3 linked regions of the Sus scrofa genome follow. The protein of the gene in region 1 binds, or shares a complex with, the protein of each later gene. Links are inferred from orthologs where the notes say so. Each region holds a gene or a part of one and is shown on either strand. Other genes may lie near its edges.

Region 1 (3,648 bases):
TGTTTGTTTGTTTTGCTTCTTAGGGCTGCACCCGTGGCATAAGGAGATTCCCAGGCTAGGGGTCCAATTGGAGCTACAGCTGCCAGCCTATGCCACAGCCAAAGCACTGCAGGATCTGAGCTGCGTCTGCGACCTACACCACAGCTCATGGCAATGCCAGATCCTTAACCCACTGAGCAAGGCCAGGGATCGAACCTGCAACCTCATGGTTCCTAGTTGGATTCATTTCCACTGTGCCACGATGGGAACGCCTAGTGTTAGATGTTTTTTTGCTTTGTTTTGTTTTGGCCCCATGAGCATGTGGAAGTTCCCATGTTAGTTTCTTGATTCTGATGATTGTGTTCAGATTATGTAGGGAAACATCTTTGGAGAACAAATGTAGTAAACGCTGAAGTATTTACAAGCATCAGAACATGAGGGTAGCAATTCTAAAATAATTTAGGCAGAAGAAGAGTTCACTTTTGCAGCTTCTTTGGTAAGTGTGACTATTTCAAAATAAAATAATCTTAAATTATGGTTGTGGAGTTCCCATCATGGCTCATTGGGTTAAGAACCCAACTAGTATCCATGAAGATGCGGGTTTGATCCCTGGCCTTGCTCAGTGGGTTAAGGATCCAGCTTTGCCTAAAGCTGTGGTGTATGTCACAGATGTAGCTTGGATCTGGCATTGCTGTGGCTGTGAATGCAGCCCTAAAAAAGCAAAGCAAAAAAAGAAACAAACAAACAAAAAAAAACGCCTCAAGAGAACCTCTAACTTAAAGTCTTTAAAATAAAAATCCTAATAAATTTAAAATATTAGGATCTGAAATATGACACAAATGAACCTATTTATGAAACAGACTCATAGACATAGCGAACAGGCTTGTGGTTGCCAAAGGGAAGAGTGGAAGGAGGTGGGATGGACTGGGAGTTTGAGGTTAGTAGATGCAAACTATTACATTTAGGATGGATAAGCAATGAGATCCTATGGTATAGGACAGGGAACTATATTCATTCTCTCAGGATAGACCAGGATGGAAGATAATACAAGAAAGGGAATGTGTATATATGAAGGACTGGGTCACTTTGCTGTACAGCAGGAACTGCCACAACAGGAAGTTACCATTGTGGCTCAGCGGTAACGAGCCCAACTAGTAACCATGAGGATGCTGGTTTGATCCCTAGCCTCTCAGTGGGTTAAAGGATCTGGCGTTGCCATGAGTTGATGGTGTAGGTCACAGACACGGCTTGGATCTTATGTGCCTGTGACTTTGGCATAGGCTGGCAGCTGTAGCTCCAATTCAACCCCTAGCCAGAGACCTTCCATATGCCACAGGCCCTAAAAAGCAAAAGAAAGAAAAGGAAGGAAGGAATTGGCACAACATTGTTAATCAACAATACTTTAATTTAAAAAAAAATTTATAAAATGTAAAAATTTTTAATTTTAATTAAAAAGGAAGAAGGAAGGTCCATTCATCTTCCTCAGGTACTTAGGAACCTATACCAGGATTGTAGACTGTTGTCTTCAAAGCTGTTGCTGAGTAGGAATGGAGTGAGTTAAAATACTGCAAAACTCTTCTTACTAGACCCCAGGTGGGTTTTTCCTCATTAAATATTCACTTGGTTGCTGTAAACTCTAGTTTCTAGAGTTTTGATAAAGTTGATTCTGCCAGGTTTTTTGCCAGGTAAGTCTCTGCTCTTGTAGGAACAATTTTTGGGCAATCCCTGCTCTTGCCTTTTTCACTGATGTAGGCTCCTCTGTCTGTCCCCCCGCCCCCATATATATATATATTTTTTTTTCTTTAAATGTAAGTTGCAGCCCACTAATGAATTAATATCTACAGTTTGAAAATACTGAACTAATAATACCCTTTGTATACTAAGAACATATGAACTAATAAACAAGGTAAAGATTTTTACTCCAAGGACATGTTTGTTAACTGTGTTTATTCAAACTTTAAGTTCCCGTCGCGGCTCAGTGGTTAATGAATCTGACTAGGAACCATGAGGTTTTGGGTTCAATCCTTGGGCTTGCTTAGTGGGTTAAGGATGCTGCATTGCCATGAGCTGTGGTGTACGTTGCAGATGCGGCTTGGATCCACATTGTTGTGGCTCTGGCGTAGACCAGTGGCTACAGCTCCAATTAGACCCCTAGCCTGGGAACCTCCATATGCCACGGGTGCAGCCCTAAAACACACACACACAAAAAAAAAAACTTTAACAAAGGAGTCTGAAAATAGAACCAGCGTGATTTGTTCCACCAGCCTTCAGATATGTTGGCAAAATTATAGTCACTTTTCACGATGTTTATAGGATATCCAGACAAGTTTCGGAACAGGGTCCCCATTTCAAATGTTTTCACCTCTGTAAAAGTCCTTGGACTTAAGGGTGTACTATGCAGTTGCTTCTTAGAGTGATGTTACTGTAGATTCTCTTGTCTTCTTTTTCAGCTTTGGGACATCCGTAAGAAAGCAGCCATCCAGACATTTCAGAATACCTACCAGGTGTTAGCTGTGACCTTCAATGACACAAGTGATCAAATTATTTCTGGTGGAATAGACAATGATATCAAGGTATGTTAGATGTTTGTTATGTTTACCTCTCACCTATCTCCACTCACAGAGGTAAATTTTTCCATACTTCTTAGGTTTGCACTTTATACCAACTAAATGGAAGATAATAACTTAGAAGTCGTTTCCTTTCTGTCCTATCCTCATTGACTTCCTAAGTCATGGTTGCATTGCAGCTTGTATAAATGCTGTCAGGAACCAGGCAGTTAACGTGAAATAGGAAGTTCTTATGTGTGAACTTTGAAAGTGAAGAATGCATTCCCTGCCTAAAGGTATTTGAAACTTTTTTTTTTTTTTTTTTGGTCTTTTTGTTATTTCTTGGGCCGCTCCCGCGGCATATGGAGGTTCCCAGGCTAGGGGTCCAATCGGAGCTGGGAACCGAGCCGCGTCTGCAACCTACACCACAGCTCACGGCAACGCCGGATCCTTAACCCACTGAGCAAGGGCAGGGACCAAACCCGCAACCTCATGGTTCCTAGTCAGATTCGTTAACCACTGCGCCATGACGGGAACTCCGGAAACTTTTTTTTTTTTTTTTTTTTAATTTGCATTGGGGAGTTCTGTTGTGGCTCAGCAGTAATGAACCCAACTAGTATGCATGAGGACTCAGGTTCGATCCCTGGCCTCATTCAGTGGGTTAATGATCTGGCATTGCTGTGAGCTGTGGTGTAGGTGACAGACACAGCTTGGATCTGACATTGCTGTGTCTGTAGGTCAGCAGCTACAGCTCTGATTCCATCCCTAGCCATGGAAACTTCCATATGCCCCAGGTTCGGCCCTGAAAAGACAAAAAAAAAACAAAAAACAACAAAAACCCCTGCATTTGTCTCTTGAGATAGCAGTAAATCAATTTGTGATTCTGTACCCTAATCTCTCAGTATGTCTTTCTTTTTGAGACTATAGAAAGGAAGTTTTGAGGGATCCATAGCTAAGAATGTGAGAAGGTAATGATGTTGGAGAAAGAAGGAGGCAGTAGACTATGTGGCAGTATAGTGTAGCTAAAGCTTTCAGGTAATTGACTTGGGGTCTGATCTCAATTCCACCATTTTGCGGTTTTTTGTTAATTCAAGGTAGTTCCTTAACTTCTTTCAGCCTCTGC
Region 2 (3,748 bases), on another chromosome or scaffold:
TGTCTTTTTGCTATTTCTTTGGGCCGCTCCCGCGGCATATGGAGGTTCCCAGGCTAGGGGTCGAATCGGAGCTGTTGCCACCGGCCTACGCCAGAGCCACAGCAACGCGGGATCCGAGCCATGTCTGCAACCTACACCACAGCTCACGGCAACGCCGGATCGTTAACCCACTGAGCAGGGGCAGGGACCGAACCCGCAACCTCACGGTTCCTAGTCGGATTCGTTAACCACTGCGCCACGACGGGAACTCCTCTAGATTAAAATTTTTGGAAACTGAGGCCCCCTCACTCTATTCCTTTGGTGCAGAGGTCGTTAACTGAGCTGTTACTAGAACCTTAGTTGTAGCATGACATCCTGTGGGAATACTAAAATACCACAGGTTCAACAGTGAAGCAAATACCTCAAAGCAAGTCACAAGATTTTTTTTTTCTTAGTGTGATTACCTATCATAGATCACCATAACGAATACAGTAATGAAAAAATTTGAAATACTGTAAGAATTATCAAAATGACACAGACACAAAGTGAACAAATGCTCTTGGGAAAATGGCGCTGGGAGATTTGCTGGACTCTGGGCTGCCTCAAACCTTCAATTTGCTAAATTAAAAAAAAAAAAAAAACGAGTTCCCGATGTGGCTCAGGGAGTTAAGAACCGGACTAGTATCCATGAGGATACTAGTTTGATTCCTGGCCTCGCTCAGTAGGTTAAGAATCCAGCGTTGCTTTGTCTATGGCAAAAGCCAGCAGCTGCAGCGCAGATTTGACCCACAGCCTGGGAACTTCCATATGCGGAGGGTTCGGTCCTAAAAAGACCAAAAAAAAAAAAACCGCAGTGTTTGCAGAGGACAACAAAGGGAAGAACAACACATGGAAGTATGCACACACATGCCAAAGAAATTTTTAGGAGCCTACCCCTCCAGAGCTTATTTTCATCTGGTAGCGTCAAGACAACTTTGCAACCCACAAAGACAATGAGTTAACCAGCGTCCTTCAAATGCTAGAGGCAGGAACAGCAACCCAATTACAAAGAGGAATATAAAGACTGGAGGCCCCACCCCTCCGCTCTAGCCAATCCCTGGCGACACAACGGAAGCTTGGGACTGATCTGCGAGCTCAGGATTTTCCTAAGTATCGCGACGTGAAACGTGAAAGCGGCCAACAATCAATTGGCTAACGGGATCAGTGACGTCAGACGCAAAGCACCGGGCCTACCGCTGGAGCGTGAGGGAGAACACGAATTCCGTTTGGAGGTTTCTTTGAGTTCGCGGAGTAGGCATCATGAGCAAAGCTCACCCGCCGGAGTTGAAGAAGTAAGTATGCATGAGGGCCGCGCATAAATGGCGGCTTCTTTGTAGGCCTTGAGTTCCTTGGATCCCCAGCCATTTCCGGAGAGTGTGTCTGCCGTGCTTATTGCCACTGGCTGCCGCCGCGATCCGGGCCACCGTCCCACGTTTCCGGGCCTGCATCCCGCGCAAATGTTGTATTTCGGCCTGGTGGGCATGCTTTTCAAAGACGTAAAGGCCCCTCCGTCTGCAGGTTTGCCTCCCAGGCCGGAGTTCCTGGCCGGGTCTCTGGCACTCGATCCTTCGTTACTTAAAGATCTTGAATACCACAGTTAGCTGAACGCCTTGAGTAGCATCACGTTCGAGATAAGGTGGTTGGACAGTAATTCTGTAAGGAACTAAGGAGGTGGATGGAATGGAATTGTTTTGATGGTATATGAGAAATTCAAAAGCTGCCTTCATCTTAGTGTGTTGGTGGTTCCTTTGAGCTTTAACTTAGAAATCCCGTTCTTGGGAGTTCCCGTCGTGGCGCAGTGGTTAACGAATCCGATTAGAAACCATGAGGTGGCGGGTTCGGTCCCTGCCCTTGCTCAGTGGGTTAAGGATCCGGCGTTGCCGTGAGCTGTGGTGTAGGTTGCAGACTCGGCTCGGATCCCGCGTTTCTGTGGCTCTGGTGTAGGCCAGTGGCTACAGCTCCGATTCAGCCCCTAGCCTGGGAACCTCCATATGCCGCGGGAGCGGCCCAAAGAAATAGCAAAAAGACAAAAAAAAAAAAAGAAATCCCGTTCTTTTTTCTTAATTTCTTGCACTTAGGTTGAACTTGAATGTGTGATATTTTGCTCTGTTAACTGGAATGCGTGAGAACATTCATTTTTCTCTAATTAGAGAAGGCTCTTTTGTTGGGGGGGTGTTCTTGGTAAGATTTCCTTTTTGATTCTTAAGATATTAATGAGAGTTTTTAATTACCTTTCTTTTCTTATATGTAGATTTCAATAATTGTGAGATCCTGCCAGGTCTACCTCCAAAATGACTTTTAACTTTTTCTTCCTTACCATCTTTTTTTGGAGTTCCCTCGTGGCTCAGCCGGTTAAGGATCCAACATGGCACTGCTGTGGTTCAAGTTCAGTCCCTAGCCCAGGAACTTCCGCATGCCACCCACGAGGCCCGAAATCTTTTTTTTTTTTTGCATTTTTATATCTTCCGTCTGCTTTTAATATAATTCTGTGGTTCTTAACTGTGGTGTAGAGAGTCTGGTTCTACCAGCATTTAGTAGGTAGAGGCCAGGGTTCCTGCTAAATATTCTACAGTGCACTGGACATCACTCAACAACAGAATTATCTGGTCCCAGATGTCAGTATGCCAAGGTTGAGATACCCTGGCCCAATCATATTCTTCCTACCCCTCTTAAAAATCATTGCCAAAGTAGTCTTTTTTTTCCCCCAGTTTTTTTGAGATAAAATTGACCTACAGCACTACGTAAGTTCAAGATGTACAGCGTAATGGATTGATTTACACATGCTTCAGTAATCTTAGCCATGCCTGATACTGCTGCAGTAACTTATTGCCATCTGCATAATAAAGTCCAGACTTCTTGAACCAGCAGTAACGCTCCTCCATTTGAAATCCAAGCACCAAATATTACACACGCTAATATTTGAGTACCATGTTCTTGGGCCAAACTGAACCATTTGATTTTGCTCAAACTTTTTCACTGCTGAGTGACTTTGGAAATTTTACTTAACCTTTCTGGGCCTTGGTTCCCCATCTGTTAATTGGTGGTAATAACAATGCATAACTTAAAAAGCTTTCATAAGGATTAAATAAAATAAGTTCATATGTGTTATATTTGTGTTTTTTTATAACATCCTAGTAAAATTGATTGTTTTACATGTCATACTATATATTTTTATTTGTAAAAACCTGTCTTCTTACACCTTCTTCAGGCCTCATGTCTTATTTATCTTTGAATTCTCCATGATATACATTAAAATTGAATGAAGTTTCATATTTTCTAGCCTACAGCAAAGAGGTAAAAACTGGTTTGACTTGTTGGCTTCATATTCTTTTTGTCTTTAGGGCTGCACGCACGGCATATGGAGGTTCACAGGTGGGGGGTCGAATGGGAGCTGTAGCTGTAGCCCCTGGCCTAAACCACAGCCACACCAGATCGGAGCTGTGTCTGTGAGCTACACCACAACTCATGGCAATGCCAGATCCTTAACCACTGAGTGAGGTCAGGGTCCAACCTGCATCCTCATGGATACTCGTTAGATTCACTTCTGCTGAGCCATGACGGGAACGCCCTTGGCTTCATATTCTCATACTACCCTGCTGATATGGAATTTTGTTGCTTAATTCAAATTATTTAAAATTTCAATATGCATTTATTTTGCTAAAGTATACTTGGGTGTTGGAGAATATCCTGAACATTTAAGATTGTTGCTTAATATTAAATAAAACACTAT
Region 3 (3,648 bases), on another chromosome or scaffold:
ATCTCTTGTTTTCAGTAAACTCCGGGCAAAGTTGGGGCTGAAACCCTTGGAAGTCAATGCCGTCAAGAAGGGTGAGCGTGGGACTGAGGAGGGAGGGAGGGTGGGCTGGTCGGGTCCAGAGGGAGGCCCCCTGAAGCGGTCTTTGAGGAGAGTGGGGCCGAGGCACAGGTTCAGCACCAGTCGTGGTCCCGCGTGTGCGCGTGCGTGCTGCGATGGGCACGGGGCGGGGCCCTCCCGGCTGTTGTGACGCGGATCCGGGACTCAGCTCCTTCTTTCTGTTGGAGCAGTTGGCGTCACAACCTCACTCTGGCTGTGAGGTAGCATTAGATGGGCCGAGAGATCTGCACAGTTGCTGTGCACTAATCTGGCCTGTGTAGGTGTTGAGTGTGTTTTTGCGGTTTTTTTAAAAGTATGATCAGAGGGGAGTTCCTTGGTGGTCTAGTGGTTAAGGATCCAGTTTTGTCGCTGCTGTGGCTAAGGTCACTGCTGTGTTGAGAGTTTGATTCTTGGCCTAGGAACTTCTGTATGCCACAGGCATGCCCCCCCCCCAAAACAAATGTGATCAGAGGGGGTTTGGAGGAAGGCCTGGGGGGTGACATGGGAGTGCGGGATCCTGTGGGAGTGGGGGGGTGAAGGACCTTCTGGCCCCTGAGCTGGAAGGGGCAGCGTGAGTGGCTCCCTCCTCTCCCCACCAGCCATGGGCAGGCATAGCCTCACGTCTGGGCCTCCCTTCCAGAGGCGGGCACCAAGGAGGAGCCCGTGACTGCCGATGTCATCAACCCCATGGCCTTGCGACAGCGAGAAGAACTCCGAGAGAAGCTGGCGGCTGCCAAAGAAAAGCGCCTCCTCAACCAGAAGCTGGGGTGAGGGGTCCCAGCTGGGCAGGCTGGGGGGTGGGGTGGGGGCCTGGGGAGGCGCCGAGGAGCTGCCAAGGTGGGTCGGGGAGCCGGGACTGGCTCCCCAGAGGGTCACTCTCGCCCCTCTTCAGGAAGATAAAGACTCTGGGGGAGGATGACCCCTGGCTGGACGACACTGCAGCCTGGATCGAGAGGAGCCGGCAGCTTCAGAAGGAGAAGGACCTGGCAGAGAAGAGGGTGAGGTCCTGGGCAGCCGGGGTGTGGCTTAGCACCTCTGGTGGCCTGACTGGCTGGTGAGGCTAGGGGCTGACCTGGAGAAGTGAGGCTGGGCCCAGAGCAGTAGGAGGCCCATGGTCCGTGGTGCCTGTGTTGGGTTCTCGGCAGCTTGTCTGCAAGGCATGTGCTTTTTTTTTTTTTTTGTCTTTTGTCTTTTGTTGTTGTTGTTGCTATTTCTTGGACCGCTCCCGCGGCATATGGAGATTCCCAGGCTAGGGGTTGAATCGGAGCTGTAGCCACCGGCCTACGCCAGAGCCACAGCAACGCGGGATCCGAGCCACGTCTGCAACCTACACCACAGCTCACGGCAACGCCGGATCGTTAACCCACTGAGCAAGGGCAGGGACCGAACCCGCAACCTCATGGTTCCTAGTCGGATTCGTTAACCACTGCACCACGACGGGAACTCCGGCATGTGCTTTCTGAGCTCCCCCCTCAGTGAGGCCCCGTGTCCTCTGGAGATCCCGAACAGCGTGAGGTCAGAGGTCACCCCCTCCCTGTCCTGTAGGCCAAGCTGCTGGAGGAGATGGACCAGGAGTTTGGTGTCAGCACCCTGGTGGAGGAAGAGTTCGAGCAGAGGCGGCAGGTGAGGCTTCAGCAGCTGATGGGGGGGCGGGGGGCTGCCATCCCGGTGCTGGGATCCCAGGGCCGGGCGGGTCGGCTCCCGGCTGAGCTGGACCCCTCTTTCTGCCTAGGACCTGTACAGCGCCCGGGACCTGCAGGGCCTCACCGTGGAGCACGCCATCGACGCCTTCCGAGAGGGGGAGACGGTGATCCTCACCCTCAAGGACAAAGGTGGGCTGAGCGGGGTGCTCCGCCTGGGCACGGGCCGGGCCGAGGGCGCGCGTGACCGGCTGCTGCGTCTGCCTCGTCTCCAGGGGTGCTGCAGGAGGAGGAGGACGTGCTGGTGAACGTGAACCTGCTAGACAAGGAGCGGGCGGAGAAAAACGTGGAGCTGCGCAAGAGGAAGCCCGACTACTCGCCGTACGCGGAGAACGAGAGCGTGGACGACTTGGCCCAGGCAGGCCGGCAGCACAGAGGGCGGCAGCGGTGGCGGCCGAGGAGCCCCTGAGGCGATGGTGGCTCTGTGGCTTTTCGGGGGTCAGGCTGGGTCCCAACCTGTACTTCCTGCTTTGCAGCAGAAACCCCGCTCTATCCTGTCCAAGTACGACGAGGAGCTCGAGGGCGAGCGGCCGCAGTCCTTCCGGCTGGAGCAGGGCGGCGTGGCCGACGGCCTCCGGGAACGGGAGCTGGAAGAGATCCGGGCCAAGCTGCGGCTGCAGGCTCAGTCCCTGAGCTCGGTTGGGCCACGGCTCGCCTCTGAGTACCTCACGCCAGAGGAGATGGTGAGCCCTGGGGCCCCATCCGCACACGATCGGTCGTGATCCTGCCTCCCCTCCGCGATCGCCTGCCACCAGGATGAGCAGAGGTGGGAGGGTCGCGTTATGGCCTGGTGCTCAGTCCCTGTGGACAAGCAGTAACCGGCAGCCCTGGTGCTGCAGGGCAGCGGTGGGTGTACACAGAGCAAAGACCGTGAGCCAGGTGGCCCTGTGCTGCTGTTCAGGCTCTGCCACATAGTCAGTCTATACACAGAGTGAGTCTTTCAGCGACAGGCCTGAGCTCTGGTCTGAAACGGGTGACAGGAGCCACCGAGTAAGGGGCTGCTACAAGGACTGGTGACGCGTGCTGAGCGCTGAGTCCGTAGCTGTCAGTAGATGTTGCATGTGGGAAGATTGAATAGCAGGTGGGCAGCTGGCTCGCTAGATGGCCTGGCTCAGTGGTTAAGAGCCAGACCTTGGAGCCGGACTCCCGGGATGCAGGGTCCTGGCTCTCCTGCTTGGGAGGCTGGGTGACTTTGGACGAGGCGCTTAGCCTCTCTGAGCTCGGGTTTCCTCATCTCACAGGTGGAGTGAGGGGCGTCCACACCTTGTGTCACGTTCACGTGGCTGAGGCGCTCAGGACCATGGCCGGCCCAGGGTAGCACTAGAGCGGCCTGCCTTCTCGTGGGCCCGAGCTGCCAGCCTCCCCGAAACCGCGTCTCCTCTGCTCTCCTCCCTCCAGGTGACTTTTAAAAAGACCAAGCGGAGGGTGAAGAAGATCCGCAAGAAGGAGAAGGAGGTGGTGGTGCGGGCCGACGACCTGCTGCCTCTCGGGGACCAGACTCAGGACGGGGACTTCGGCTCCAGGTGGGCTCAGACGTGGGCCTGGCGTGGGGGGCTGGGCCGGCCGGGGCCGGAGCTCACCCGGAGGCCTCTCCCCACAGGCTGCGGGGCCGGGGTCGGCGCCGAGTGCCCGAGGCGGACGAGGAGGCCCAGGAGGAGGAGGAGAAGGAGCCGGTGCCTCTGCCCCCGCAGTCAGATGACACCCGTGTGGAGAACATGGACATCAGCGACGAGGGTGAGGGCCCAGCGGCTGAGAGGGGGCAGAGGGGGTGGGACGGGGGCCTGGGGGGCCCGGGGCCCCGGAGAGGACCTGAGCAGGCAGGCGACTTCTGTGTCTCCACCAGAGGAGGGCG

The links.
Region 2: SNRNP40 (region 1) and SNRPG share a complex: the UniProt entries of both Homo sapiens proteins name them as parts of the U4/U6-U5 tri-snRNP complex. The link is inferred for Sus scrofa from reciprocal best matches to the Homo sapiens genes SNRNP40 and SNRPG.
Region 3: SNRNP40 (region 1) and SART1 share a complex: the UniProt entries of both Homo sapiens proteins name them as parts of the U4/U6-U5 tri-snRNP complex. The link is inferred for Sus scrofa from reciprocal best matches to the Homo sapiens genes SNRNP40 and SART1.

The regions. Positions count from the first base shown.
Region 1 is NC_010448.4:87,862,623-87,866,270, reverse strand, and holds part of SNRNP40 (U5 small nuclear ribonucleoprotein 40 kDa protein), read left to right. Parts: intron 1-2,429; coding exon 2,430-2,552; intron 2,553-3,648. UniProt on the Homo sapiens protein: Required for pre-mRNA splicing as component of the activated spliceosome. Component of the U5 small nuclear ribonucleoprotein (snRNP) complex and the U4/U6-U5 tri-snRNP complex, building blocks of the spliceosome.
Region 2 is NC_010445.4:72,197,566-72,201,313, forward strand, and holds the start of SNRPG (small nuclear ribonucleoprotein G), read left to right. Parts: upstream 1-1,156; 5' UTR 1,157-1,278; coding exon 1,279-1,310; intron 1,311-3,748. UniProt on the Homo sapiens protein: Plays a role in pre-mRNA splicing as a core component of the spliceosomal U1, U2, U4 and U5 small nuclear ribonucleoproteins (snRNPs), the building blocks of the spliceosome.
Region 3 is NC_010444.4:6,366,796-6,370,443, reverse strand, and holds part of SART1 (U4/U6.U5 tri-snRNP-associated protein 1), read left to right. Parts: intron 1-15; coding exon 16-71; intron 72-736; coding exon 737-863; intron 864-988; coding exon 989-1,094; intron 1,095-1,641; coding exon 1,642-1,719; intron 1,720-1,828; coding exon 1,829-1,928; intron 1,929-2,011; coding exon 2,012-2,154; intron 2,155-2,272; coding exon 2,273-2,479; intron 2,480-3,194; coding exon 3,195-3,319; intron 3,320-3,396; coding exon 3,397-3,530; intron 3,531-3,639; coding exon 3,640-3,648. UniProt on the Homo sapiens protein: Plays a role in mRNA splicing as a component of the U4/U6-U5 tri-snRNP, one of the building blocks of the spliceosome. May also bind to DNA.